Linked DNA regions of Arabidopsis thaliana. The protein of the gene in region 1 purifies or fractionates together with the protein of each later gene. This does not show direct contact. Each region holds a gene or a part of one and is shown in the gene's direction. Other genes may lie near its edges. The genes, in order: AT5G38840, RRP45a, AT1G60080 and RRP4.

The links.
Region 2: the proteins of AT5G38840 (region 1) and RRP45a fractionate together in Arabidopsis thaliana (co-fractionation; one large-scale study listed by BioGRID). This does not show direct contact.
Region 3: the proteins of AT5G38840 (region 1) and AT1G60080 fractionate together in Arabidopsis thaliana (co-fractionation; one large-scale study listed by BioGRID). This does not show direct contact.
Region 4: the proteins of AT5G38840 (region 1) and RRP4 fractionate together in Arabidopsis thaliana (co-fractionation; one large-scale study listed by BioGRID). This does not show direct contact.

Annotation. Positions count from the first base shown.
Region 1 is NC_003076.8:15,547,839-15,556,430, forward strand, and holds AT5G38840 (SMAD/FHA domain-containing protein), read left to right. Parts: upstream 1-3,404; 5' UTR 3,405-3,490; coding exon 3,491-3,846; intron 3,847-3,946; coding exon 3,947-4,032; intron 4,033-4,120; coding exon 4,121-4,200; intron 4,201-4,297; coding exon 4,298-4,353; intron 4,354-4,443; coding exon 4,444-4,492; intron 4,493-4,605; coding exon 4,606-4,752; intron 4,753-4,865; coding exon 4,866-4,961; intron 4,962-5,189; coding exon 5,190-5,303; intron 5,304-5,405; coding exon 5,406-5,539; intron 5,540-5,714; coding exon 5,715-5,965; intron 5,966-6,080; coding exon 6,081-6,869; intron 6,870-6,958; coding exon 6,959-7,008; 3' UTR 7,009-7,239; downstream 7,240-8,592. Other genes in the region: AT5G38830 (Cysteinyl-tRNA synthetase, class Ia family protein), read right to left, coding at 84-256; AT5G38850 (Disease resistance protein (TIR-NBS-LRR class)), read left to right, coding at 7,349-7,794, 7,891-8,592.
Region 2 is NC_003074.8:4,153,063-4,159,768, forward strand, and holds RRP45a (ribonuclease PH45A), read left to right. Parts: upstream 1-2,991; 5' UTR 2,992-3,144; exon of another isoform or gene 3,145-3,268; 5' UTR 3,269-3,282; coding exon 3,283-3,419; intron 3,420-3,545; coding exon 3,546-3,755; intron 3,756-3,829; coding exon 3,830-3,925; intron 3,926-4,006; coding exon 4,007-4,121; intron 4,122-4,231; coding exon 4,232-4,312; coding exon of another isoform or gene 4,313-4,339; exon of another isoform or gene 4,340-4,402; coding exon 4,403-4,591; coding exon of another isoform or gene 4,592-4,627; exon of another isoform or gene 4,628-4,684; coding exon 4,685-4,780; 3' UTR 4,781-4,902; downstream 4,903-6,706. Other genes in the region: HAC5 (histone acetyltransferase of the CBP family 5), read left to right, coding at 222-300, 387-773, 1,012-1,211, 1,316-1,433; AT3G13000 (ubiquinone biosynthesis protein (Protein of unknown function, DUF547)), read right to left, coding at 5,152-5,472, 5,549-5,668, 5,760-5,852, 5,937-5,996, 6,085-6,184, 6,270-6,706. UniProt on the Arabidopsis thaliana protein: Probable 3'->5' exoribonuclease involved in the regulation of cuticular wax biosynthesis. Can perform exosomal functions and partially complement the yeast rrp45 null mutant.
Region 3 is NC_003070.9:22,150,547-22,157,917, reverse strand, and holds AT1G60080 (3'-5'-exoribonuclease family protein), read left to right. Parts: upstream 1-3,274; 5' UTR 3,275-3,472; intron 3,473-3,565; 5' UTR 3,566-3,578; coding exon 3,579-3,738; intron 3,739-3,822; coding exon 3,823-3,872; intron 3,873-3,952; coding exon 3,953-4,022; intron 4,023-4,101; coding exon 4,102-4,207; intron 4,208-4,302; coding exon 4,303-4,369; intron 4,370-4,508; coding exon 4,509-4,584; intron 4,585-4,851; coding exon 4,852-5,159; intron 5,160-5,241; coding exon 5,242-5,313; 3' UTR 5,314-5,688; downstream 5,689-7,371. Other genes in the region: BGLU4 (beta glucosidase 4), read right to left, coding at 1-87, 168-294, 341-428, 509-540, 657-865, 941-1,056, 1,126-1,378, 1,458-1,545 and 5 more.
Region 4 is NC_003070.9:821,672-828,284, forward strand, and holds RRP4 (ribosomal RNA processing 4), read left to right. Parts: upstream 1-2,845; 5' UTR 2,846-2,981; coding exon 2,982-3,142; intron 3,143-3,219; coding exon 3,220-3,321; intron 3,322-3,430; coding exon 3,431-3,476; intron 3,477-3,581; coding exon 3,582-3,671; intron 3,672-3,750; coding exon 3,751-3,816; intron 3,817-3,915; coding exon 3,916-3,984; intron 3,985-4,073; coding exon 4,074-4,508; 3' UTR 4,509-4,728; downstream 4,729-6,613. Other genes in the region: AT1G03350 (BSD domain-containing protein), read right to left, coding at 1,163-2,575; AT1G03365 (RING/U-box superfamily protein), read left to right, coding at 5,511-6,613. UniProt on the Arabidopsis thaliana protein: Non-catalytic component of the RNA exosome complex which has 3'->5' exoribonuclease activity and participates in a multitude of cellular RNA processing, maturation and degradation events.

The DNA of each region.
Region 1 (8,592 bases):
GAGATCGGGTCCAACCACATCGATCTAATAGATTCTATTCAACAAAACCCTAATTTATCAGAGAGGAAGAAGAAGAGAGAGACCTGTAAAGAACATCGAAGGAAACGGCGGCGCGAGCATGGCCGATATGGCTGAAATCGTAAGCGGTGATACCACAGACGTATAATCCGATTTTGCCAGGAGTGATTGGAATCAAAACTTCTTTCTGTTGCGTCATCGTGTTGTAGAGCTTCAATTCCATTTTCTCCGCCTCCATATCTCTCACAATCTCACCACCACAACTACACGGCGAAGTTAACAAAAACGAAAAAACCCTTTTTTCTTAATTGTTTTTGGTAACTTATGCGACCTGTTGTTACTTTACTTTTCAACAGTTCTCTTTCGTGTTTGAAGATTTCAATATTAAAACGGGCCTAAGTCTGAGGGTCGGCCCAACCAATTACGGTAGCCAGATGAATTGGCGGGGTTTTGTCGATGTGGAATTCGGGTTATTCGGATAATTTAGGTGTTATTAAGATTTGTTTTTAAAGATGAGGTTAATACAGTTTCAAACTTTCAATGTAATAGTTCAATTAACCAAATAGAAAAATATACAAACTTAATGTAACAAAACGTAGTACGTTTTGAGATTTTTTAAGCTAACGCATTAGATGTTTAGAAATTAATAATATGTGTATACAATAGTTGTGGAATTAATCTCTCAATTTCAAATCTCTTACATATATTAATTGTAAACATATTATTTTAAAGAAACCTTATTCTTACTTATTATAAACGAAATTGTCATGACGTTATCCTATAGGAGAAATTTTTTAACTAGTTTAAATAACTACCAATTCTTACTAGAATATTAGGAATTAGTCTGGACTACATCCGGTTTTATGTTAAAAATTGATGTTTTTGAAATAGTTTACTAAGTCTTTTTATTTGTTTTTACGTTTTTTACTATGCATAGAAAAACGTCATGTGATGTATTCTTAACATTTTAATAGTATAAACTTAAATATAATATTAAATTTTCACCTTTATCTATCTATGTTTGGTTTTTTTCATTGTAATTTTTTTTTCTTTCTAATTTGTACAGATTGACAAGCCTCAATGAACATTTTTTATTAGTAAGAGATTGTGAAAATCACATAAAATACTTTCAAAGTAACAACCACATGCACTTTCAACCTTCATGGTTTTGAACTCACACAAACCATCAAAATTACGATTTTGTTACTTTAAAACTTCAAATGACTTTTGTGTTCGTGGATCAACATAAATCAGAAAAATTTCATCAACACAAGTATTTGTTTTCCGTTATAAATTAAGATGTGGTTTTAATAAGTAATTTTTGTTTTAATAAAAAATTAATTTTATTTATTTATTTATTAGTAATATATTTTAAAATTATGGAAAATTGAAAAATTCAGTATTATGATAACCAATTATATATTATAATAGTTATGGAAAATTCAAATTTAAAAATTTAAAAATTATTACTTTCTCTTTGGTAATCGATCGCTAACAATAATATTGTATGAAGATAACCAATCATATATTACGTCTAATGAATCTATATGTGTTTATTATCTTTTTTGTATCCCCTAAAATAAACCTTGAAATACCTAAGAGATTTTATTATTTTCAATATGCAAGGGAACATCTGCTAAAAAGGAGAGACGACCGTGATCTTTCTGGTAATTTATTTGTTGGTTTAAATGTGAAACAATATTTTTAGAACTTTTATTGTTTCTCTTTAAGACTATATAACTAACATGTCTTGTGAGCCTATATGCAAAAAAGTACACAAATGATACCTTAGATATAGAACATAAAAATACTCCGACTTAAAAATAAACAAACAAAGAAACTTGATTATCTTTGTTTTTTTTGGAGTTGTAGGCTTTGATATATAACTTCATCTTTACTATCACTATCATTTTTATCCTTTTTTGGCTTAGTCAACAAGAATTAGATATAAAAATCCGAAAGTAATATAATGAGGGATTTAATGTACCTTTTCAAACATTTTTGTTTTTTAATTTTTGTTGAGATAAAATTTATTGTTTAACAAAAACTTTAATTTACAATAATAAATCAAGAGTGTGAAAAGTTTGGTCAAAATTATAATGGCGATTGCTAATTTCTTTCATGAAGATTCACTGTTGAAAGAGATGTCTTGTAATTGTATTTCTTCACTGAACTAACAAGATAATAATATTATTACAAGAGATCAGCATCTTTAGTTTAAGTATATAACAAAATCATAATATTAAGACTTGTAACTAAATTAACGAGATTCTAACACTTGAACTCAATGGATTTTAATTTTTGCAATATGAATTATTTTGAAATTATAAGACATATAGCATATATTTAGATGTTATCTTACGATTTTTTGTAGCCAAAAAATAAGCAATAGATAGTTGGAAAAAAGCTCATATAATTCTTTGAGTATTTGCAATTGAGAGATTCATTCTCCAACTATCTTGTGTGCACATTAATTCTCTAATTTGGTGTCCAATCAACAAAAACTAGACTTAAAAAATTCAACGTTAGACAATAAAATTGAACGTTAAGTACTTCGATTACAAATAGAATAAATCCAAAGAATTCCTAAATCTTTTTCCTAAATTGAAACACAATTGAATCCTAGGCGATTTTTTCTCAAAATAAAGATCTATAAAGTTCAAATTTGCATAGTCTTCATCGATTTTATAGTGTGTAAATTTATAAACTGAGTACCAAAGATTCGTAGGGCGTGCGTATTGTAGAATGTGTAAGCTTCCAAATCGAAAGTCCAAGTTAAATACGAAATAGTAGAAACCGAAGGTGAAGAGAAAGATAGTGGAATCTGATGATTATGATGCTAGTGTTAAAAGAGATAATTGCCTAGTTATCGTCTTTTTTTTTTTTTTAGGAAAGACTTGAGAACTTTAGGTTTTGTTTTTGTTTCTAATCAAATCACTTAACGTCCTAATTAATTATGCGTTGATGTATTTTAAATTTTAAATTTGTTAATTCAACAATAAATGGGGATGTGTCTTTCATCAAGTGGTTAAGTCCATTTGAATCCGTTTTTCCTACTAAAGTTGAATTCTATTAAATCACGTTACTTTGCATAGTAGAAATTAATTATAAATCGACCTTCTCAAAGTAAATATGTCAAAAGAAAAAAGAATTCAACAATAAGTTTGAGAATTAATATATACACATGTTAGTTATGGAATTAATCTTTGAATCCGAACATAATAACAATTATGTCTCCCTAAAAATTGAAAAATTCGGGACGAACGGTACGGGCCTAACTGGGCTCTAATAGACGGGCCGGGCCGTTTGTACATCTATTTACCGTTTAGTTTATAGCATTTTCTACTGTATAAAGTAAACGGCCCAAATTACAACCCGGATTCAAACCCGTACCCGATCCGAGTTACAATTGCCGCCTCACTGATCTCTTTCTTCGGCCAAATTTCTGAATTCTCTAATCTCTCTGCAACCAATGACTACATCGGCGATGGATCCTCCTCCACCGCGAAACCCTAGCCATGATATCGAGCCTCCTGAACCAAACAGTACATCAATTTCCCAAAGCGATGAAACCTCAACGATGAATCCTCCACCTCCCAGAAACCCTAACCCACCTGATCTGAAGACAACGGAAGTAGTTGTAGAGCCCGAGCCAATAGAGGAATCCAAGGACGATTCCGTCACTGTAGACGCGGATAAACCAGTTCGTCCCCGAACCGTGAAGCAGAATCCTGTCCCCTACACTATTCCAGAGTGGAGTGGCCCTCCGTGTCACCAATTTCAGCTTGAAGTTCTCAAAGAAGGCGCCATTGTTGAGAAATTAGACGTGTAAGTAAACTCTTATGAATCTATTACCCTCTAAAGCTTTAAGGCTTCTGATTGAATTAGGAAGGAAAGTGTATGTAATTCGTATTTGTTCCCTTTGCAGCTATAAGAAAGGAGCTTACTTGTTTGGACGTGATGGTATCTGTGATTTTGCTCTTGAGCACCCTTCGATTTCTCGGTTTCATGCAGGTGATTGATTATCTTATTGTTCATACTTCATATCATAGTGTTATTACTTTCAATTTGGATTACATTGTTTTGTAATGAATCTTGCCAGTTATTCAGTACAAGAGGAGTGGAGCTGCGTATATATTTGATCTTGGAAGCACGCATGGAACAACTGTTAACAAGAATAAGGTGCTTTATTTGTGGCTTTGACATTTTTATTCTCTTGATTGAGCTTTGATGAACTGACTTATAGTAATTTACTATCTGTGTTTTATGGTTTTTGCAGGTGGATAAAAAGGTTTTTGTGGATTTGAATGTCGGTGATGTTATTCGCTTTGGCGGGTGAGTGTATATCTCTGTTAAGCTCATGATGATTATCTTGGTAGCTTTTGCTTTGATTTTCCTGAGCTCTTTCTTTTGTTTTTTATGTAGTTCGACTAGATTATACATTTTCCAAGGACCCTCGGACTTAATGCCACCAGTAAGATACACTTTTTACTTTACACAATCTAATTTTTGGTCTAGAGTAATTTTTTGGCATCTACCCTTAATTATTTGATGCACCTTTAATCTACTTGTGGTATTGATTTTTAGGAGAAAGACTTACAATTAATTAGAGAAGCAAAGATGAGAATGGAAATGTCAGAACGAGAAGCTTCACTGCGACGAGCAAGGCAGCAAGCATCCATGGCTGATGGTGTTTCATGGGGCATGGGGGAAGATGCTATTGAAGAAGAAGAGGTAATAATTACAACTTTATCTGTTAGTGTTGTGGACCTAAGTGTCTCACGTTTCCAGGATTTTTGTAATCAATCTTTCTGAACGACCTTTTTTTCTATAATTTGGACATGAAGGATGATGTTGAGGAAATTACTTGGCAAACATATAGTGGAGAACTCACTCCAAAGCAAGAAAAAACTAAGGAGAAAGTACTGAAACGGTTGGAGAAGGTTAGTATTTTTGTTCCCAATCATTTTTTTTCGATGCAAAATCATATATTTAGCTGGTACTTCTTAGTGACCTGAGTCTCTATATTTTTCTTTTTTTCCGTCTTTCTTTCTCCCTTCGGATGCTCATTATAATTTATAGACTATTCCAACTTTCCTTTATTCATTGTAGATGTTTTTAGACTACGTCCACTTTGCTTCATCTTTATAGGGATGTTTACTTCTGTGTAGATCGGCCATATGAAGAAGGAAGTAGCAGCTATTCGAGCCAAAGACATTTCTCAGGGTGGATTGACACAAGGACAACAAACGCAGATCGCTAGGAATGAGCAGAGAACGGCTGAGGTAACCACTTTGTTAATCTGAAGTGTCCTTACTACAATCTTAGTTTTGGCTGCAAAACTCTTTATCTGATTAGACTTTCCATTTCAATTAACTCTATGATAGCTTCTGGAAGAACTTGAGAACTTGGAAGAGACACTGAATGACAGCATCCGGGAAAGTTTGGGTGCCAAAACAGGGAGAAAACCCACCCACGGAAAGAAGAAAGGAATTGTAGAAGATGAGGAAGACTTGTCGAGGTAATCTTTCTCGTGTCTCAGCTATTTTTTCTCTTAGGGATCTCGTAGTATTCTTACCTGTGTTTCAGTTAAAGGCTGCTTCAAGTGTTCAACCTCTATATCTACATCTTCATGCAAAACTATAGCTTGTGTCTGTTGTTTCTGATTCTCATAAGGAAAATTATGTTATTTTCAGTGATGAAGATGACTTCTATGACCGGACCCAGAAGAAACCATCAACAAAGAAAGGCAGCGAAAACCAAACTGTAGAAACTGTTGATTCACTTGTAGATAAGAGAGACAATGTCTTGAAAGAAATAGAAGCAAAGAATGAACAGCTTTTAACAGAGAAGAGTAAGATGGAGACAGAGAATGTCACAGAGGTTACATCGGGAGACTCCCTTGATGCCCTTGATGCATACATGACCGGGCTTTCTACAACACTTGGTAATTTACTTTTTTTTTTTTTTGTTGTGTCGTAAAAATTTATATCTGCGCTGTAGTTCACTTCTAGGAAAAACTTCTTACTGATGTCAAGAAATTTTCCTCTTATTGTTGTCAGTGCAAGATAAAACCGCCCAGATCCAGCAAGAGTTGTCTACTCTACAGTCAGAATTAAGTAGGATCTTATACCTTCTAAAGATTGCTGACCCAACCGGAGAAGAGGTTAAGAAAAGGGAGTTGAAGTCACAAGAATTAAAAATAAAGAAATCTGAAACACCTTCCGTAGAAAAGAAGATCAATATACCTTTAAAACAAGCTGATCCTAATGAGCATAAGGAGAAAGAAGTGGCCAAAGATTTAGTGGACTCAGAAAATAAGCCTGAAGTAGAAAATAAAGCAAGTGAAACAGCTGAAGAAAAGAAGACCACTGTGTATGTTCCATCAAAACCCCAATGGCTCGGTTCCGCTGCAAATAAAGCCATAATTGAAGAAAAAAACCCTGAGATAGTAGCTGCTACTACTGATAGCACAGAGGATGCTGATGGGTTTGTCGACTATAAAAATAGGAAGAATATTGCTCTAACAGCCACCGCTGGAGTTGAAGTTGTAACAGGGTTGATAATAAGAAAACGTAAGCAAGAAGACAAGAGCGAAGAAGATGATGATTCAAAGGAAAAGCAAGCAGAGGTCATGGCACAGGATGCAGTTGCTCTCTTATTGAAACATTCTGTAGGCCATCATGTAAACGAAGAAGACAAAGAACTCAGTAAACAGGAAGAAAATAATCAAGGAAGTGGCCAAAGTAAAACGAAGAAGAAGAAGAAGACGGCTAAAAAAGTAGTTGGTCCTGATAAACCAGAATATCTGGATGAAACCATAGATTATGATTCTTGGGTACCTCCTGCAGGTAAAGTAACGCCATGTTTAGAAACACATTGAATCAAATCCCGTTTTAGAAAGTGGCTAATGAGTAATGTATTGACTTGAAATGTGCAGGACAATCTGGTGATGGGCGAACATCTCTAAATGACCGTCTGGGATATTGATCAGCGATAGAGTTTCCAGAGCAAACTATAGGATTGAGGAGAGGTAGAAGTGGCTTAAATATCTGTCAAGTTTTGCATCACTCAGTCTGGTGATTTCTTGGTCACACAGTACTTTGTAAATTCATACTCTAAACCCTGAGCTTTCCTGATTGATATATTTTTTTTTGAACGGAAATTTTACTTGTGATTTATCTCATAATTTATTTTATATTAGGGTGCGGCAATTAACAATACTTACGTCTGTCTCTCTCTTTCTCTCCGAAAAGTCAAAATGAATAAGCCTTATCATTTGATCCATTCATAGAGCTTATCCAAACGCAATCTCTCACGACCGTCTCCTATGGCTTCTGCTCGAACTTGGAGATACAACGTCTTCCCGAGCTTCCATGGAGGAGATATTCGTAAGACTTTTCTCTCTCATTTACGTAAGCAGTTCAACTCAAATGGGATTACAATGTTTGATGATCAAGGAATCGAGAGGAGCCAAACCATAGCCCCTGCTCTCATACAAGCGATTAGAGAATCTAGGATATCGATTGTGGTTCTTTCAAAGAACTATGCTTCTTCGAGTTGGTGCTTGAATGAATTGGTGGAGATTTTGAAATGCAAAGACGTAGTGATGCCGATCTTCTATGAAGTAGATCCATCCGATGTACGGAAACAGACCGGAGATTTTGGGAAGGCCTTCAAAAATAGTTGTAAAAGTAAAACTAAGGAGGAGAGGCAGAGATGGATCCAAGCTTTAATTTTTGTTGGCAACATAGCTGGAGAACACTCGCTGAAATGGTTTGTTTGTTTTCGATCGACTAATTTTGGGGCTTTCTTTTAAGTTACACATCACTTTATAACGCCTATCTGATATTTTGTTTCCTCTCTTGTTAGGGAAAATGAAGCGGATATGATTGAAAAGATAGCCAAAGATGTTTCAGATAAACTGAATGCTACACCTTCTAAAGATTTTGATGCATTTGTGGGACTTGAGTTTCACATTAGGGAATTAAGTTCTCTGCTATACCTAGACTATGAGCAAGTGAGGATAGTAGGAATCTGTGGCCCTGCAGGAATCGGTAAGACTACCATTGCTCGTGCTTTACAAAGCCTACTCTCTAGCAATTTTCAGCGAAGTTGTTTTATGGAGAATGTTAGGGGAAGTCTTAATATTGGGCTTGACGAGTATGGTCTGAAGTTAGATTTACAAGAACGACTTCTTTCAAAGATTATGAACCAAAAGGGTATGAGGATAGAGCATTTAGGCACAATAAGAGATAGGTTACATGACCAAAAAGTGCTTATCATTCTAGATGATGTTAATGATCTCGATTTGTATGCTTTGGCTGATCAGACAACGTGGTTTGGTCCTGGAAGTAGGATTATCGTGACAACAGAAGACAACGAGCTTTTGCAGAAACATGATATTAACAATGTCTACCATGTGGATTTTCCATCTAGAAAAGAAGCTCTTGAGATCTTTTGCAGATGTGCTTTTAGACAAAGCTCTGCACCTGATACGATTCTAAAGCTTGCAGAACGAGTAACAGAGCTTTGTGGTAATCTTCCATTGGGTCTCTGTGTCATAGGTTCATC
Region 2 (6,706 bases), on another chromosome or scaffold:
TTAAAATATCCAGCAAACAGATTTTTCTTCACTTAACTAAATAGCAGTATTCTAGTACGTTTGCGGGAGGGACTGTCTAGTTTTCAAATGGGAGCTAGACAATGTTAGCTTTTAAGCACTTGGTGTATTCTGATTTTTTTTTTAGGTTAGATTGACAGGTGTGCCTGTGAAGTATATATACATTTTTTGGCTGTATCTCTCAAGCTTTTCGTTTACCACAGGTGTCATGAAGTGGAAGAGAACCGTGTGGAAAAGGAAAAGCATCCCGTCAATCAGAAGGAGAAGCATGTATTATATCCTGTAAGTTTCTACCGCGATAGGGCTCTAAAGTTTTTTGTTTTCCCTCCTTGTTGGGTTGGAAAATGACAAGGTTTTGGTCTCTGCAGGTTGCCATTGACAACATTCCTACTGAAATTAAGGACAATGATGACATCCTCGAGAGCGAGTTCTTTGATACTAGGCAAGCTTTCCTGAGTCTTTGCCAAGGTAATCACTATCAGTACGACACACTAAGACGGGCAAAACATTCTTCCATGATGATTCTCTATCATCTTCACAACCCAACCGTCCCTGCATTTGCAATGGCATGCGCCATCTGCCAGCAAGAACTTGAAACTGCTCAAGGTTGGCGTTGCGAAGTTTGCCCTGACTATGATGTTTGCAATGCTTGCTACTCAAAAGGCATCAACCATCCACATAGCATCATTAGCCGTCCATCTGCGACAGATTCTGTTGTACAGAACACACAAACTAATCAAATTCAGAATGCCCAGGTATTCCTTTTCTTTCAATTTTTTAGCTTTGATCATAGAATTGATGTCCATATGCATACATAATTATTCACTTGTCAAAGCTGGAAAGATAGATAGGCTCAACTCCTTTTAGGATTTTTACCAAAATTCCTTTCAAATATTGTGTAGCTAGATAAGTGTCGGTTAGAAAATTGAGTTTGCATCTCTTGGCTTCTCTTTTCCTTATTGCTAACTACGGTTTGGCTTGTTGGTACTGCAGTTAAGAGAGGTGCTGCTACACGTAATGACATGCTGCACTGCACAGTGCCAGTATCCAAGGTGTCGCGTGATTAAGGGTCTCATTAGGCATGGTCTTGTCTGCAAGACCAGAGGTTGCATCGCTTGTAAGAAAATGTGGTCCCTCTTCCGATTGCACTCCCGAAACTGCAGAGATCCCCAATGCAAAGTCCCCAAATGCAGGTATGTAATCTAACTACTTATAAAGCAAATTTTCAATTATCAGAATAGATTTGTTCAAGAAGGTGATGTGTTTAATAATGATCTGACAAGTTTATTTTTTGCAGAGAGTTGAGAGCTCATTTTAGTAGAAAGCAGCAACAGGCAGATTCAAGACGCAGAGCAGCGGTGATGGAGATGGTGCGGCAGAGAGCCGCTGATACAACGGCCTCCACTCCTGAATGATTAACAGACATGTTATATTCTCTGTCTATGGGGTCAAGGGTTCGTGCCTGAAGTAACGATCCAAATGGCAGGCGAATCAAGAAAGAATGAGATATTTTTGGCTGATTAATTTGGAGATTCAAGAAGCTAGTTTAGGAGAGCTCATGGGAAAATGAGCAGATGGGTCTCTTCCACAACTGCTAATTTAGGTTCACAACGAGGTACATAGATATTTTTTCTTACATGTATTCTAAAGTATAGACATGTGTATAAGGGAATTGTGATTTTGATTCAATTTTTGGTGATTCTGTTCATTGAATCCTATTGAATTCGACTACTGAATTTGATCTTAATTTACTTACTCTTTGATTCCTTCGTATTGTATATGTGGTATTTTTGGCAAAGCTATAAGCTAATAAATTCTTGATTTTCAATCATTACATATACTAGACTGGAAATGCAAGTTTTTACTTTATATTCAACTAGAATACTAGAGTTTATCCAGTTGAACGAAACCAAGACCCCGAAGCATTTTGGAGTCATTAGGCAACGAACCCATTATAATGTATATAGAAATGATCTTAGTACGGCGAAAGCCAATGAAATTAACAAAAAATACACTGCCAAACTAAAGTAGTAGAATTCACCTACTAGACATTCCATGGTGAAATGGATCAGACAGTTTGATGAAACTCTGGGAAGCTTCATAAGAGCATTGGTGATCGTCAGGAACCTTTTCTTAACATCCTTGCCTTCACTCAATTCGACATTAACATTGACAGTTTCAAGACGTTTTAAATTTGCCAAGAAATGCCTCATTCGTTTCAGCTCTTCCTCTTATCCCTCTTAGGGGTGCAAACGCAGGCGTCACCACGTTTGTCTGTAACTTCATGCACAAGACCGTGAAAGCAAAAAGAACAAGGCATAAGCAAATTCATGGGAATAATAACTTTAGCAAAGAAACAGAAGTGCGTGGTGATCGAACGAAATAGATGATACCTTGATGACTTAAGTTTCTAGATTTGGAGAGTAGTTAAGGAGAAGTGGCTCCACTTACCAGCCTCTTTCTTTGTTACACTCAAAAGATAAAGTAACGAGGTTGGGAAACACCGGGATTGATTTACAGCACGAGTAAAATACCTGGGATCTATTGTCACAACCAAAACAAACATATACACAAAATGAGACTTTGCTAGCTAGCATGCACTTCAAATAGAATCAACCAATAGAAGAAGAAGACGTAGCAGAGACTGACCTCAAGAGAAACAGCGGACAAGTGAAGGGTTTTAACATTGCTTATCCCTGCAACCAGATTCGTAACATAACCAACAATATCCTCTGTATCACCATCCACATAATAATTAATAGTCATCTGGAAGACGCTCCCATGAGTGTAGCTTCTACAAGGGAACCCAAATCAACCTCATAATCTTCTGCGGGATAACCAGAATAGTCAAGATAGACAAGACTGGGTGTATCAAACAGACGAAAACCCTTGTGACCGTTAGGGTAACGGGGCCAATGATAAGAGCTGGTCAGTCGTTTGATAAGAGAAGGACTAGACACGGTCCCTCCATCAAACAAATATTATTAAAAGGAAAAAAAAAGAGATAAATGAAAATTGGTCCATAAGACAAATACTGAAAAGACGAGGGGTTAAATTGAAATAAATCCCTCCTCTTCTCTGTTCACAAAATCCTCGCGCCACAAAACCCTAGCTGAACGGAAGAAGGTTAGTGGTTTAATCTCCCTCTGGGGAAAGCTGCTTATGTTGATTCTCTAGGCTTTTTTATATTCTGAAAGTTTTGATTTTTTGTATCTTGTTTTGTTTCTCAATCATCAATTTGTGGTAGTAGCTCACTAGCAAACAATGGAGGGGAGGTTGAATAATATGTGGAGGTTGACTGTGAATGAGAGCAAATTCGTTGAATCTGCGTTGCAATCTGAGCTCAGAGTCGATGGTCGTGGCCTTTATGATTACCGCAAGCTTACTATTAAGTTTGGCAAGTGAGTTTTTCTCCTATTCATTGATTATGTTTACCTTTAAAGCTTCAATTTTTGTTGATGCTTTTGATCTCTGGTTTTGCAATGTTGTTACTGATGATTAATTTAATCTGTGTGAGTTTTCGATAGGGAATATGGCAGCTCACAAGTTCAACTGGGTCAGACTCATGTAATGGCTTTTGTGACTGCTCAGCTAGTACAACCTTACAAAGACAGACCTAGTGAAGGCTCCTTCTCTATCTTCACCGAGTTTTCTCCAATGGCTGATCCATCGTTTGAGCCAGGGCATCCTGGTGAATCTGCTGTTGAGCTTGGCCGTATTATAGACCGTGCTCTACGGTAAACCTCTCTTTTTGATTTGATGCTACAAACAAAGTTTTTTGTATTGATGGTCTTTGTGTTGTTGGTTGCAGAGAAAGCCGTGCAGTAGATACAGAGTCGCTTTGTGTTCTAGCCGGAAAGCTGGTTTGGTCTGTTCGCATTGATCTTCACATTTTGGACAATGGAGGGTAGGTCTTCTTCATGTTTATCCAAGGTTCTTGTTGTGAGAATGATCTTTTATGTGTATATTGTTACTCACTCTCTTACAGGAACTTGGTTGATGCTGCTAATGTTGCTGCCTTAGCCGCACTCATGACTTTCAGGAGACCTGATTGCACTGTAGGAGGGGACAACAGTCAAGACGTGATCATACATCCACCCGAAGTTAGTAATTCATATTTTTTTTTTTTCAGTTTAGTTGATGAACTTAATAACTAGAGAGAAGGAAGTTCTCAACTTCAACTGTTTTGTACTATATTTGGTTTCTTTTACAGGAAAGGGAACCACTTCCTTTGATAATACATCATCTCCCAATAGCCTTCACGTTTGGATTTTTTAATAAAGGCAGTATCTTGGTAAAAAAATTGTGTTTTGTTTATTGATAATCTTGTTTACTACGTTTTTGTTTGCATCTGAGATTACAAGTGTGTTGTGTTCTTATGCAGGTGATGGACCCAACTTACGTTGAAGAAGCTGTTATGTGTGGGAGAATGACTGTGACAGTCAATGCCAATGGCGATATATGCGCAATCCAAAAACCAGGAGAAGAAGGCGTGAACCAGAGTGTAATCCTTCATTGCCTGCGTCTTGCTTCTTCAAGAGCTTCTGCAACAACAAAGATAATTAGAGATGCAGTAGGGTTTCGTAATCCGGAGCGTTTTCCTTTTTAGATTGATTTCTATTGATTTAAGGATTTGATTTTGTTGTGCTTTGTTTTCATGGTGTAGGTTGAAGCATACAACCGTGAGAGGAGCTCACAGAAGGTGAAGCGGCATCATACTTTGGCTAAGTCTGAAGTTTTGGGACCTATTGTAGTTGTGTAGGAAGAGACATAAATAAAACATTTGCTGTGGTCGTCGATTGTAAATAAAGATTTTAGTTGTAGAAATCTTATCAGCAACACTAAGCTATAAAAACGTCGATATGATCAAGACATGTTGAGACTTCTCGCACTTAAATAGATGACTAGTCTCAACTCTTCCATTTATGTCTTTCTGAAAGAAAGTTGAAACACAACATATTGAGACTTCTCAGAATTAATATGCATATCCTGAATAACATGTACACTATAAGCCAAAAGCTATGTTGGAATAATAGTAGTAACCATGATCATGAAACAGCCTCCTCTCACTGTTCGTTCTTATGAGGTCGGTTAAAGCTTTTTTTACAACAGAAGAGAGTCTTTGAACTGTTATTACAACGAGGTGTTGTCGTCGGGGAGAAACAGGTATCTGAAACGAGAATCGAAGGGGAGTATTCCGCAGTTCCGTGAAGCGAGAAGGCTTTGTCTTCTCTGAGAGATGCATTGCTCCACAAAAGCAGCTTGATGTGGAGGAAGGTACCTTGATATCCAGACCCCCAAGTTCGAATCCTCCACCAAACTCTTGGCATAACAATGGAGCATTTTGGGTAGTAAGAGCTTCCCTTTGCTGCTCAGCCCTACCGATGCTTGTATGAAGTCCCTTTGTGCTTCTAGCATCTCTTCCTTCACTCCTTTCGCAGAGTAGATCCTCACCTGCAAGACCTCTTCGTGTTAAGAAAATGACTGTTTATGACTTTTGGAAACGCAGATTGTTACTTAGTTAAGTTACCGCAGGTGAAGAGTACATTCCACAGCTTAGAGCAAAGCCGAGAAGAGGTTCATGTGTATCAATGCTTGCCCTGCGCTGTTCTTCTGATACTTTCATCTTGTGGATGGCAAGAAGCAAAGCCTGCATCAGCAAACAGAGCAAATTGTTTAACTGACTCTGAAAGAGGAGAAAAGAAGAGCCTCACAGAAGAAGCTGGGTTCAAAGCTCATACAATTTGTGGCCTGTGCATAGGCGGTTTCATCTTCAGTATCACATATTCCATTGTCGCCGCAGTATATGAGTGCCCTCCAACTGTATAGGCTGCCTGTGGATCCAGTACAAAAGGAATCAAATAAGGCAACAAAGAAATGAGAAGAACAAAACACAACCTTCTGTCAAGTGATATAACCTTTTGCATCAACGAGAAAAGCTTCAGGTCGCTTTTTGGGACGCCATAAGCCAAATAAGCCTTTGTTCACATAAACAACCATAACTCTCATAAGCTTTCGTTTCATTCAGAATAGTTCTTGATAAGTATAGGGGAAAAAGGAACTTACATGCATTATCAACGCGTTATAAAGGTTAATCCAGAAAGCAAGCTTCTCGTTGCAGCTTAAATGAATAGGATTTACTCTAGCCAATTGCTCAACCAGTGTCCTGTTCACAGAATCAACCATGGTTATGTAAACTGAGTCTTACTGTTCAATCGGATTGAAACACACAAAAAAGGAAACTCTATTACCTGAACTTCTTCAATGCCCCGGAAGCATACTCCAGCTGTTTCTTCCCTACAGACATCCAAGAAACCTCGGATGCCAAACTGTAGTTCCCAATCTCCGCCCAGCTTAACTTCCCACGAACTCTATAAGGATCAAAGACATCTCCTGTGGCCAAAACATTGGCGTTATTTTGGATATCTATTTGTGGGCTTTGCACCCATGAGGAGATCATTGACCGTTCTGTTGAAGGCCACCAGGATGCTGAGCTTGATAGATGCCCGCGAGGTGATACTGGTGAGAGGTGGCTTTCGTTTGAGGAAGCTTTTGAAGTTGCTGTTGGATCAGCAAGAGACATGAAGATATTCTTCATACATCTCACCATTTCTTCAGATAATAGATTAGGTTGATCCCACAGGTACTTAGGTGGCATTCCTCGAGGTAGCTTCCTCGCATTTGTCTT
Region 3 (7,371 bases), on another chromosome or scaffold:
AACCCAAAACCAACCTCATATCCCCCTAGAAGCTCGTATAAATCCATAAATGACCATACGAAGTAGCCTCTCGTGTCTGATCCATTCCTATACGTTGTAATGTATTTTTTCTTGATTACAATGATAAAAAAAAGTGAAGAGAAGAAGCAATAAGGAACTTTACTTACCTTATGGATTTGAGCACACCACCAATGTAGGCATGCAAGTATTCCACCCTTGGTATATCCTTCTGTTTCAGCTGCGAATCTTGCTTCATCGGTGTACCTATTTGTTGCCATTGGAAAGTGAATTTAGCTGAGGATAAAAAAAGAGAGAGATAGAGAGCGAGCGAGCGAGAGACCACTCTCAAGAATGTAGACAGGAGGATTTCCATAGCTCTGCTTTATATACTCCAGCACAACTTCCATAGCCCATGGAGTATTAGCATACTTGTTTAAACAAAAACAAAACAACTTAGTAACACTATTCTCTATCAAGACTAAAGAAATCTTAGCCTCAAAACTCCTACCTGAAAATCTAAACTTTTTCCAAAATCTGTCTCTCCCAAGAAAGAAAGAAGAAGAGATGATTAGCAAAAACAAGATATCATAAAAGAGAAAAAATCTTGTTTTGTTATTTAAAAGATTGAGTTTGATTCATACAATGAAAAGATACACCCATGTATGAGTAGAAATCCGGGTTTCCGGACAGAGAAGGTTTGGATTTGATGTTAGTGACAGAAGCCGCATGATAGTGTATGACTCCTACAAAGTCACATGAGCCTTTAACTTGTTCTGATTCTTTCTCAGAGAAAACTGGCAGTCTTGATCCAATGGTTCTTTTCATTGTATCAGGATAGTCTCCAAATAAAAGAGGTCTAAGGAACCTGAGTTTTAAAGAGTAAATCTTTTTTATTGAGATATGTTGAACAATATTTTGGAACAGTTTGTGCCTGACTCACCAGCCGACGTAGAAATCTTGGGCTCTTTGGGTTGCAGTGGCATCATCCTTGGAGCTTGTAGTAGGAATAAGCCCTAATATGAATAAGCTAAATCCTATGGAACCTCCCTGCTTATCCTGCATATTATATATACTTTATAGTGTGTTTCTTCTCACACATTCAAGAGAGGGTTATGTAATATATACCTTGTATTTTTGTTTGTATCGTCTTGAAACAGAGGCGTGCGCAAGCAACAAATTATGGCCTACAATATATGGTTCAATGGAAGAGTTCCCTGAAGAACAGTTTTTGCTCGGTTTGGAACAACGACCAGGCGGTGTATCCCCATCGTTGTAACCTCCTATAGAGAATATATTAGCCTCGTTGATCGTGGTCCATAGTTTGACATGGTTCCCAAACTCTCTGAAGCAAACATCTGCATAAGTAGTAAAGTCTTTGCTGCAATGGCAAATAACATCAACTTTTGTTATTTTATCTTAAACTACAAAATCTGTAAGAGAAAATAAGTAACGCCTACATCATTCTGTGGTTGAGCCATCCTCCATATTCATCCTCCAGAGACTGAGGATGATCATAGTGGTAGAGTGTAACATGTGGTTCAATTCCTGTAGTAAGTCTACTTAAACTCTAGTTAATACGAACTAAACCTAACTCTTGAGTCCTACCGTGGATATGAAGATAGGTCTTACCGTGGCTTACTAACTCTTGGATGAGGTTCTTGTAGAACTGTAGACCCTTTTGGTTAACAGGCCCTCTTCCATCTAATCAGATAATAAATTACGAACTGATCATAAATTTGATCCCTTCACTGAGCTATAACATGTTTAAGAAAACTTACTAGGTATTAGCCTAGACCAAGAGATGGAGAATCTGAAAGCATCTAAGTTAGTGTCCACCATCAACTTCACATCATCCTGTATAAATTCATAATGAAACTCAGGCTTGATGAATAAAACCTCATGATGTAGTCAGAGAAACAGAGAAGCTAAAGAACCTTGTACTTGTGATACCCATCACATGCTATATCTCCGTTACCTTGGTCACCTGCAATGTTAGAAACAAGAATCAAAGCACAAGAGTGACAAACTCTAATACTAATAATAGTTTGTGTTAAAATGAAAAGCTTACGAGAGTGACAAAGAGTGTCCCACAGGCTAGGTTTCCTTCCGTCTTCTGCAGCAGCTCCTTCCCACTAGTAGAGACCAAACATTTGGTTCAGTTTTGTTCAAAAGTTAAGAAAAAAGAAGCTCATAAATTGGTTCCAAACCTGATAAGCAGAAGTGCCGGCTCCAAAGACGAATCCCTCAGGGTAGTCAGATCTGCTGAAAACGTCGCTGCATTTCCCGGAGAAAGCAAAAGCAAGAAAAATGGCAAACAGAGCCAAAATCTGTTCCATTTCTCACACACACACACACTCTTTTCTTCGTTCCATGTTAGAATAAGTAAGTCCAGTAGCCATTTGCGTACCCGCTAGATATAGTTGTGACGTAGACATTAATGATGATGCAATTTAGATAAGAAACATATTGGGAAGTGTGTTGAAATGAATTATGGTCTTTATTTACTATGATAAGAAACAGATTACGCTGGATCGGAGCCCAGGTCTGACCAACCCAAATAACGAAAGAAACTAGGGGACCGGAAAACCATGCGGCTATGCAGCCCCAGCCCCACATATATGAGGGCTTTTGGGCCAAAAAAATATTTTTGGACTTTTTGTTACATTTCAATTTTTTTTGGGTATTCCTAAATTTTTGTTAATAGTATGGACTATGATATAATAACTTTTGAGGTATTAAAGTAAAAATATTTGGTCCTCTTATAAAGAAAAAAATATTTTATTTCATAAAACTTAATAATTATTACAAAGCATAAAATATTAAACATACATTATCTTAAAATTTTAAAATAGATGTGAAAAAAACGGAATAACGATAAGTTTTTCTGTTGATTGTTGCAAATTTCAATATACGAATACTTATAACGATGTTTTGAATTGAAATTTTCTACGAATACTTATAACGATATATATAGTAAAAGAGAAATTTCTTAACTTATAATTAAACACCATTAAGTAATGTATGGAGGATTAACAAAATTGGATATAAAACAAGAATGTATAATGTTCATTTTGACGCCATTTCTTCTTCTTCATATTTTACAATTTACACTAAACATTTTCCCAAATTCAGCTCATAATCAAGTGCGCCTCATATTTTCGCCAAATTCATCTAATTGAAAACCCAAATTTCAATATACTCATGTCTTGTGAAGCAAACAAATCTCTTATTTCGCATTTCTTTGGGCTTCGCAACATTATTGGGCTTTGTTTGGGGCCCATTTAGAATGAAGAAGTACTTTAGTTAAAAACTCAGATAAACCTAGCCGTCGTCACCGTCACCGTCTCCGTCGAAATCCCCATTACTTACGACACCGCGAGCTCTCAATCTTCTTCTTACACTCTATTGCTTGTGTTTCCTCTTCACTACAACAGTTTCGTGTACCAAAGGCAGTTCTTTCTTTTGTCCCAAGGTAAGCTTTGTGATTCCTTGAGACTGTGTTGATGAAGCACAGACTCAGAGACTTTTGGTTTATGATTCTCTTTATCTTTGTGACATGAAGCAGAGCTAAAGAAAACATGGGAATACCAGATGCAGCTCAAGACTTGTCGACAGAGATGGAAGTTGATGCTTTTAGAAGAATCTTCCCTCTTCGTTTCTTTGAGCGTCATCTCTCTGAATCTCTTCGTCCTGATGGAAGACAACTTGGAAAAGCTAGAGACACCATTGTTAATCTTGGTATAAACAATGAAGATTGATTCTTTTTAGTTTTTATCAAATTAAAAATGTCAACTTTATAGTGGTTTCTTGTGTTTGTTGTAGGACTTGTTTCAACTGCTGATGGGTCTGCTCTTGCTAAGATTGGTTCCACTGTAAGAACCCGCCTTAGTCGTTTCGATAGTATTCACATGATCAGCAATGTTTTGCTTACATAGTTGTTTCGTGTTTATAGACTATGCTTGCTGCTATTAGAATGGAAGTTATGACTCCTTCTACGGACTCTCCAGACGAAGGATGCATAGGTTGTTATCTCGTTGTCTTGTTCTCTATGTGGTTTGTTGTTCTTCTTTGGTGATTCATTTTGTGATTCCTTTTTGGTAGCTATTGAGTTCCATATGCCTCCAATTTGTTCTCCGACTGTTCGTCCTGGAAGACCAGCCGAAGCTGCTCCCGTTATTTCAAAGCGTTTGTCTGATACTATTTTAAGGTGTGTTTTGGTTTGATCTTTCTCTTTATATTTTCTCTGTCTCATTGAGCATCAAATACAATGTTCCTTCTAAAAGTGTTTCTTTTTTGTTCTAGTTCTGGTATGATTGATCTTAAAGAACTGTGTCTAGTTAGTGGAAAAGCTGCTTGGATGGGTTATCTGGTGAGTACTCGTTGGTCTTATATCGGTGCTTGTCCGTCAGTTGATTCACATCTATTCTTCTAGGGATCTTTCTCTTTGATATTTAACTGAGTTCTCTAGCATATATATGAACATTGTTGCTCTCTGAAATTTCTCATAGGACATATATTGCCTGGATGCTGATGGTGCTCTCTTTGATGCTGCTCTGCTTGCTGCTGTCGCAGCCTTCTCCAATCGTAAGTTCTTCTCTGTTCTCATCCTTTAGTTGGTTTCACAGCTCCTTTAGAGAACCTTTGAATAAAGCTGATTCTCAAGTTTATCAAATCCATTTCGAATATGAGTAAAAAGAGCAAGCCTTAGAGAACACTTAAATCTTGCTGAGTGAGTCATACCTGAGTAATATTCTTCCCTGCACAATAGCGGTTTGTTCAGAAGTTGTGTGATTGGTGTTCCGAGACAGAAGAATTTTTCCTCTGATGCATAAAATATCTTTTATATTGCAGTGCAAATTCCAATTGTTGCTCTGAATGACAATGGAAGAATAGTTGCCGTCACTGGAGAAAAAGATCAAGACAATGCTTTGATCACCGAGAAAGAAGCAGTGAACAAGGAGAAGAGAAAACTTACGCTTAAGAACATTCCTTTCTCTTTAACTTGCATACTTCACAAGAACTACATCTTAGCAGATCCAACAACCGAAGAAGAATCGATCATGGACACTCTTGTGACTGTTGTTTTGGATTCCTCGGATCAAATGGTTTCTTTCTACAAATCAGGAGGAGCTGCTCTCGCCTATTCATCAGCCATCAAGGTGAGAGTTTTAGCTTTCTCTTAGGTTAATCCACCACTTGATTTACACCGTTTTTTGTTTCTTATAAAGTTGCTATGCGCAGAGCTGTGTCGAGTTAGCAAGGAAGAGAGCAAAGGAGCTTAAGCAGATATTGGGAGAGATGGATATCGACTAATTTATCAGATGGAACGATTCCATAACATTGTTGAAATTTTGTGTTACATATTTTAATCAGATCACCAAGTTACCCATTTAGAGGCAAAGGAAGAAGCTCTTCACCATTTTTGTTCGATTGTGTTACGGTTTTGTTTGTCATATAACGACTTTAATTTAGTGCTAGTGTAAGTGTGAGATTATATTATCTCCATTTCAAACGAACCGAAATGTGCGTAAGCTGATTAATTTTACAAATGTTCAAATCAAAAGCAATTAACAAGTTTGTTTGTTGACCACCATCGCAAGTTTGTTTTTGATTAGGCTTTTCTGAATTTTTTTATGTTATAATGTAAGGGTATGTTAAAATATTATTCCATTTAAAAGAGGCATTGTAACAAGAACCATTCTGAATCTGTGAAAGAAATATTCCATACTAGACGAGGAAAGTCCTCGAGAGACTAATTAAATACTAAATAACATAAAATCATTCTGAATCTGTGGAAGAATCATATGCTAAGCGAGGAACTTCCTCCAAAGACATGAGACTCTCAGTGTGATTATGATAATAGCGGACCTCTCTTACATTTTTATGATTAAGCTTCCAGAATTCTTCGTCACCAATTCCTTCATATAATCATATTTGACCCTCCTTACTAGGGTTCTTTTTGGATCATAATATAAGACATAAATTGCTTCAGATGTTGTTGCAGCTGTATAAATAAACTCACCAGTGGATCATGAGTAATACCTCTCAGCCCCCAAGAAACTTTCCAGATCGGGTCACGTTGAGGAAATTTTCTAAGTGACCGTTCTTGTTTCTCTTCATCCTCCAAAACCCAAAATCATTTACCAGAGACGTCGTCAGAGCAAACCCATGCAAATTTTCCTTCGTAGTTGAGGAAAAATTTGCAAAGTAAATTATCAGCCGCTGATTTTCTTATTGTGTTGAACTTTTCGTACCTCACATCGAAGCTCATAAGGACTTTCTCAACTTCAGAACTATCATCGACTCCAAAAGGTATACTCGCTTCATAATACACTTCCCCGTTGATACATATACTTTGTATTAGTCCCTCGGCGGATAGAGGGACATGTTTAGGGGTATTTTGTGTCACTCTCCATGATTCTTGAGGTCCCAAAGTAAAAACAAGAGGATCTTGGTATCTAGAGCATGAGATGCACAAGACTTTATACTTACCCTCGACCGGATCATATCCTAAAGAGCTACATTCAAATGCGACTTTTGGTAAGGTAACATGTTGTCTCATGATTGGATTCCAAACTACAATATGCCCCAAGAATCTCCCAAACATATCAAGCCATGGACCGACTGGGACCATTCGTGATAATCAAATATGAGAGTGTCTTTCAGATAACGCTCCACATGTGGATAACATGATCTGTCCGGATTTTCATGTTGGGGCATTGCGCAGAAAATACGCTTGTCACTTGTTTTCACGCAGACCAAAAGACACAACCTAGTTGAAGACTGACTCGCGAACGACCTGATGAAATCTGGATGAGTGGTGATTGATGACCATAGCTAAGAGACCCAGTGGAACCTCGCAGCAGATTTAGCAGGAAGTCTCAAGAGTATATCAGGAATTAGATCAAGAGGAATCATCTCGAGAAACTTACAAAAACTCTCATCTTCTTTAGATTGTATACTTACTTCCCTATCTTCCGCCTCTTCCTCTACTCTATCCATTGGCGTCGATCCACTAGTTTTTTTTTTTAACCCTAATTTTTCAACCCTAAGTTTTTCAAACCATTATAGTAGTTGTCATCTCTGGACAAAAGGAACAAGTCAATGCATCGATCACCGAAAAGGAAGCATCGTACAAAGAGAAGAAAACTGAAGATTAAGAACATCTCTTTCTCTTTAACTTGCATACATCATGTTCAAGAACTACATCTTAGCAAATCCAACGACCGAAGACGAATTGATCATGGACACTCTAGCTAGTGACCATTGTTTTAAAAACCATACTCAAAATGTATTAAAAAAACAAATAAAAGAATTTTACATTTGGTTGTATTTGACAAAACATATCAACACTTTAGATTCTTGCGGTAA
Region 4 (6,613 bases), on another chromosome or scaffold:
CTTGGATCCATCCAGATCCTTTTCTATCCTTTTCTGTGTTCTTCTTACCAGTAAATTCTCAAAGGACGTCGATTGTGGTTTTACACTAATAGTTTCACATCGATTCGTTGCATTATTAAAATCCAATCATAAAATTTCTATTTATACATGCACACATACGGTACATGTTCAATTGAAACATTTTCCCTAACTAGACATGCCAATAAATAATAAGTTGGTTTGGTCCAAAAAATAAAATAATAAGTAAAATTCTACAAAACAAATGGTACAGTTTTGTTAATAACTAGATATTCATCCGGGTACACAACGTATTTATATTTTTGTTAACAAGTTAAAGATTTTATTTTAGTTAATAGTATTTATAAATGATAAACATATTAAGAAGTACACAACGAGCCTATATTTTTCTCAAAAATTTTTATTTTTTTGTTTTAAAGATGATTTATAGATATATGCTATTGCTTTTTTTTATGTATGATACATCTCGAAATGATTTATATAACTAAATTTCTGAAATTTTAAGTTATTTTTTGTATTAATATTGTAAATTTTGTTTAATTTTAGAATTTTACCATAGTATATCATTCCGTATTAATATTGATCCAAACCGTCTCACCATATATCCTAGTTCTGTGAAATTAAACATCATTTTGTCATTTTCTTATAAAGTTCAAATCTATATAATATTTGAAACTTCAAAAAAGTTTTAAATATATTGTATTATATCGTCCCGTATTAATATATTTTTAAATATATATATTATATAAAACTTCATAAGAGTTTTAAAATTATAAATATTAAAACGTTTTAAGAAGTTTTAATTTTAAAAGTTTTACAATTTGTAATATTTAACTTTTTTGGTTCTTCACAAAGGACAGAAATTGAGATTAATTTTGACACAATTAAAGCTCCGAATTCGCAGGGGTCAGTTGATTGATATACTCAAAATAACTGGAGAGAATGACTATCGCAAGATGAATATATTCAAACTTTCCTCAAACCACCTTCTCAAGTAAAATTTAAAAACATATTTTCAAATCAATGTAAAATAGAAACGTTGAAGAGAAAAACAACTGAAGAATGGGGGCAAAGCGCCAGAAACTTGTAAAAACAAGTAAAAGGATTGGCAAAAGTAAGAAAGCACACCACTTTAAAACTAACATTAAGCTTTGGATGATGATGATTCTTCTTCGTCATCTTCATCAATGTCCCAACTTAAATCTTCATCTTCCTCTGCAGCACTCAGACGTTTACGCAGCTCAGCTCTGTTTGGACTACCACCAGACCGACTCGTTTCCTTACCATCTATGCTACTCATATCCTCGATCTCGTCCCATCCCAAATCCTCTTCAGATGGTTGTTGAGTTGATGAAGAAGCAGCCACATCTGGTTTAGCTGAGTCTTGGGATGGAGCAGCCTCATCAGATTTTGGTTTGACAGAATCTTGGATTGGAGCCTCATCAGATGTTGGTTTGACAGAATCTTGGATTGGAGCCTCATCAGACGCAGGAGGAGCAGCATCAACAAATGATTTTTCTTCTGGAACTTCCTCACTATCAGTCTCCTTCTTTTCCTCAGAATCTTTATCTGTCTTCAAACCAACATTGCTCACTTCAGTCACTGAATCTGCACTTGTCACTTCATCTTGCGTGCTCACTTTAGCCACTGAATATGTACTTTCCACTTCATCTTTCACAGTTTCACTCACATCTCCACCACCCATACCATCATTCCCTTCAAGTTTCAACCTTGAAACATCTTTGGTAGCTTCAACAACTTTCTCGCTGCTCTCCTCTTCATCATCAATATCCCAGCTCAATTCTTCTTCATCATCCAGAGAGATGGCTCGTTTCACAAGATTAGCCCTTAAATCCTCAGCTTGCTTGAGCTTGTTAACCCTATAGAAATACCTAAACCAGAAGGTCTCGTGATCAACCATACTCGGAACGACCCTTTTATACACTCCTTTCATATCACCATTTTCCTCCAACAATTTCTCCATCTCCTCAGCTTTTCCATCCAGAGAAAACGCAGATTCCCACTTTTTGTAATCATCTGAATCCTCAGGCTCTTCACAGTAAGTGTTGAGATCTCCTTGAACAGCACGAATCTGAGCATCGAAACGACTATATGGTTTCGAACTGAAGCTATCACGACGACCAAAACTCTGACTACTATTGTTATCAGAAGAATCAGATTCATTACCAGCGGCTAAAATCGCTTCCTTACCTTGAGCAATAATCTCAGCCGTACCTTTTAGCACCGTGTTCCCAAGCTCATCAATCGCATGTCCCACCGTACCAAGCGATCCCTGAGCCACCTCGATCTCTTTCTTCAAACCTGTGCCAAATTCTTCGAGATCTCGTCGGTAGGTTTCAATCACGGATTCGGATCTGGTGGCTAGAGTTTTCATCAGACCACCGAAGCTCCATCCACCGTCGTCGTTAGATTCAGATTGCTCTGGATGTTCTTGCTCTGGATGTTCATGCTCTTCGCTGTGTTTCGGTGAATCGGATTCGGATTCGGTTTCTGGAGGATCTAGGTCTTCCGTGAAGACGGATTTGAAGAAATTCATAGCGTAAAGCTCAGATCTTACCAATCGGTACTCTCAGATAATTTGTTTGATCCGTGAAAGAATCAATTTGAAGAGTGAAGGATTCGAATTAGCGTCAGAAATAGGAAGATCACAAAAGACTTGAAGCTTGTCGCTGCAGAGACGTCTAATTTTTTTCCCATTTTTTTAATGAAGATAAATAATACTTTATTTGGCGTCAATTATCAGATTAATGGGCCAGAAGTTTTATAAATGGGCCAGAAGTTGGATATGTTAGTCCAACAAATAACACAAAACCCTAGAATTCATTCAAGGGAACTAACGTCAAGGTTTTTGCTCTTCTTCTCTCCCAAGTCCCAAACTCGTTTTGCATCGCCATTGTTGTGTTGCTGGAGCTAAATAGAGAGAAAGAGAGAGAGTGTCTGTGATGGTGATGAGAAAGCTACAGTTACCGTTGAGCCAGACGCAGAAGGTTAGGTTTGAGAGAGCAATCGAGCGGCTTCAATCACTGTCGTCGTCGGCTAACTCTGACGCTTCTGTTATCGTCACCGACTCTATTCCCGTCAACCATGACGATGCCTTCCTCAAGTAATTTCATCTCATTCTCCCTTCTGGATTGAAATTTTTGTCAAATTGCGTTTTCACGATTGGTTTTTTCATTAAAGGGGACATGGAACTTCCGAGGTCGATGGTGAGTTGCTCGCGACGGTCTGTGGAGTAGTGGAGCGTGTGGATAAGCTTGTCTATGTACGCACCTTGCGAGCCAGGTCTGTGATTGATCTTTGAATTTGTTTAGTTTCCCAGAAAATGTGAATAGAATGGACTCTCTACTCTGAGATTAAGTAGAACTGATGGTTTTGATGATCTACGTTTTAGGTACAAGCCTGAAGTTGGGGATATTGTGGTAGGCCGTGTCATTGAGGTAGATTTTTGTTTTGGTGTTTGGATTTTTGAAATCGGATTGAGTGAGTAACATAAAGGTTTCAATCACATTGCACAGTTACTGGATTGATCTTTACTTATTCAGGTTGCTCAAAAACGTTGGAGAGTGGAGCTCAACTTCAATCAGGATGGAGTACTGATGCTTTCTTCCATGAACATGCCTGATGGTATTCAGGTACAGTTTGATTCTTGATATTTTGCCATTTGGATGATTGCTTTTGGCTTCAATGATATAAGTTTATTGTTGTTGCCAGAGGCGAAGAACCTCTGTGGATGAACTCAATATGCGGAATATCTTTGTAGAGCATGATGTCGTATGTGTAAGTCCTGTGATTAGTAATGTTCCAATCTTTACATATCTTAACAGTTACGTCAACCTGACTAAAAGGGTTCCCTCTTTGGTTTGTTCAAACTCTTAGGCTGAAGTACGCAACTTTCAGCATGATGGTAGCTTGCAGTTACAAGCCAGAAGTCAGAAGTATGGCAAGGTTGGTTCTCATTTGGTCACATGCTCATGTAGTTATACCTTTCGCTAGTCTCTTCCTCTGAACATTGATTAATCCATGAATCGCTACAGCTCGAGAAGGGACAACTTCTGAAGGTCGATCCTTACTTGGTTAAGAGAAGCAAACATCACTTTCATTACGTAGAAAGTCTTGGGATTGATTTGATTATTGGCTGCAATGGTTTCATATGGGTTGGAGAACATGTCGAAGTGAGAGATCCTATGGCAATAGATGATCAGAAAGATGAGGAAATGATCTCATCCTCCTCCACAGGAAAAGAGCAAAGCCATATTCCACTCGAGACTCGACAAACCATATGCAGAATCGGGAATGCGATACGTGTCTTGTCTAATCTAGGCTTCACCGTGACACTAGAAGTAATCATGGAGACTGTTAACCTCAGTAACTCAAAGAATATTGACATACATGATATGCTTGGATCAGAGTTTCACGTTGTGGTAGCAGAGAATGAAGCTGAAAGAAGACGTACAAAGAGGAAAAAGTGAAAACTACCCCTTTTTGTCACTGATGTATCAGAGACTTGTAACGTGTATTAGATCATTCGGTCTTGTTTGTTACTCAGCTTCTATTGAAAGTTCGAATTTTAATCTGATTGAGATATGTAGTATGATGGATGTGTTTGATACTATTAACTGTACATCAGATTAGATTAGTCGAGTTATGTCTTTTGGAGACGGCTTTCTTCTTTCATTCATGAATTTATCGGTTTCGACTTTTGTAGCTGAAATTCGTTTTGTGAAAGGATCTACAGTTGCAGAAACAACATAGAAAAGATTCGCTGCCCTTTTTAGCTCGGAGAAGGGATAATTGGGAAATGACTAAAATACCCTCATGAGAATCCAAGTAATAACAGCGATTACCAAACCTCTTCTCTCATTCACGAAACAGTGTTCTACGGCCAATTTCTCTCGCTCGCTCCACACTCCCAAAACAATATTCTTCTTCTTCGATTTCTCACTCTCTGTTTGTCGCTACCGATCTTATTTCCCGCTATTTTTGTTCCGGCGCCGTTCTCCTTAAAGTCGCTATTGTCTTCGTTGAAGGTCAGTTTACGGCCTTTTTTAAATCCATTTTGGTGTATTCGTGATTGTTTGTGGGTTGAATGATCGTGCGATTATTTGGGGTTTTTAATTAATTTCGATTCAGTAACGGTTCTGAATTGCATTGCGATTAAGCACTTAATCAGAAAGTAGTACGCTTTAGATTTGAGGAATCTCTGTACATTTACTAGGCAAAAAGTTTACTTTTTTTTTTTGGCGTATTTCTGGGATTGCATTAGTTAGGCGATTGAATCACGTTTCTGAAAGCTACAACTAGGAGATGAAATCATCTCTCTTTTGCATGTATACAGATAATTTAGATGATTTTGGTCTAACATCTTTGATACTTTAATGGTTTTTGCATATGAAACAATTTCGTATCTATGTTCTACGCTTTTTTGTGTGTGTTTAACTTAAGTCGTTCATGTGTAATGGATTAAAAAGGTGATGAGTATAGTTCAAAAGCAAGAAGAGATGAATGGATGTGGTCTCAATGTTGACAAAGTAGAAGCCTTTACAGTGTCACCTCAGGAAAAAGGAAGGAAAAACAAGAGAAAGTTAGCTGATCCTTCTCAACCAAATGCTTCTTCCCTCACTGAATTCCCTCCATATGAGTTACCTTCGTTGAAACCTCAGAACCATTTGAGCGGAAATGGATCGGTTGGGGAAGTTTCTAATCAGCTGCAAGTTGAAGTGTCTGAATCTGTCGAATGGGATGACCCATTTGCCTGTCATCTTGAAGAATTGTTGTCGTCAAATTTGCTCACGCTCTTCCTTGATACAATGAAGCAGCTTATTGATTTAGGCTACACCGATGACGAAGTTCTGAAAGCTGTATCACGCTGTAGGCTGTACTGTGGAGGCAATAATCTTTTGTCAAACATTGTCAATAACACCTTGAGTGCTCTCAAGACTGGAGACGAAGGTGCTGGTTCAGGAGACTATGTGTTTGAGGATTTACAACAGCTTGTTTCCTATACGTTGGTAGAAATGATAAGTCTTATTAAGGAGGTCAGGCCGTCCCTATCAACAGTTGAAGCTATGTGGAGGCTTTTGATGTGCGACTTGAATGTCTTGCAAGCCTTTGAAGCTGAAGGCGATGGATTGGTGAGTTCAAGTAAATTATCTGATTCGGAATCTCTTGGTGCTGAATCTAATCCTCCAAAATCTAGTGACCCAGATAACCCAAAGCCTCCCCAATCCGATCCTCAAAGCAATCGGAATGAGCCACTCAAATTTGGAAACTTCCCAAATACACCGAACTCCAAAAAAACTCAGTCTAGTGGAACAACACCAGGAAAAGAAGTATGCTCGGGTAGCACTGTTTCTTGTCAAGGCATGAGAAGTACATCATTTACTCTAGTCTCTGATGAAAAATTGGTATCTTGTCGAAAAGGCCGTACTAAAAAAGAGATAGCAATGCTTCGGCAAAAATCATGTGTGGAAAAAATTAGGACTTACAGCAAAGGCAGTGGCTATAAGGCGGCAAAGTTTGCATCAGTTGGCAGCTTCCTTTTAGAGAAAAGAGTCAAATCATCTTCTGAATTTGT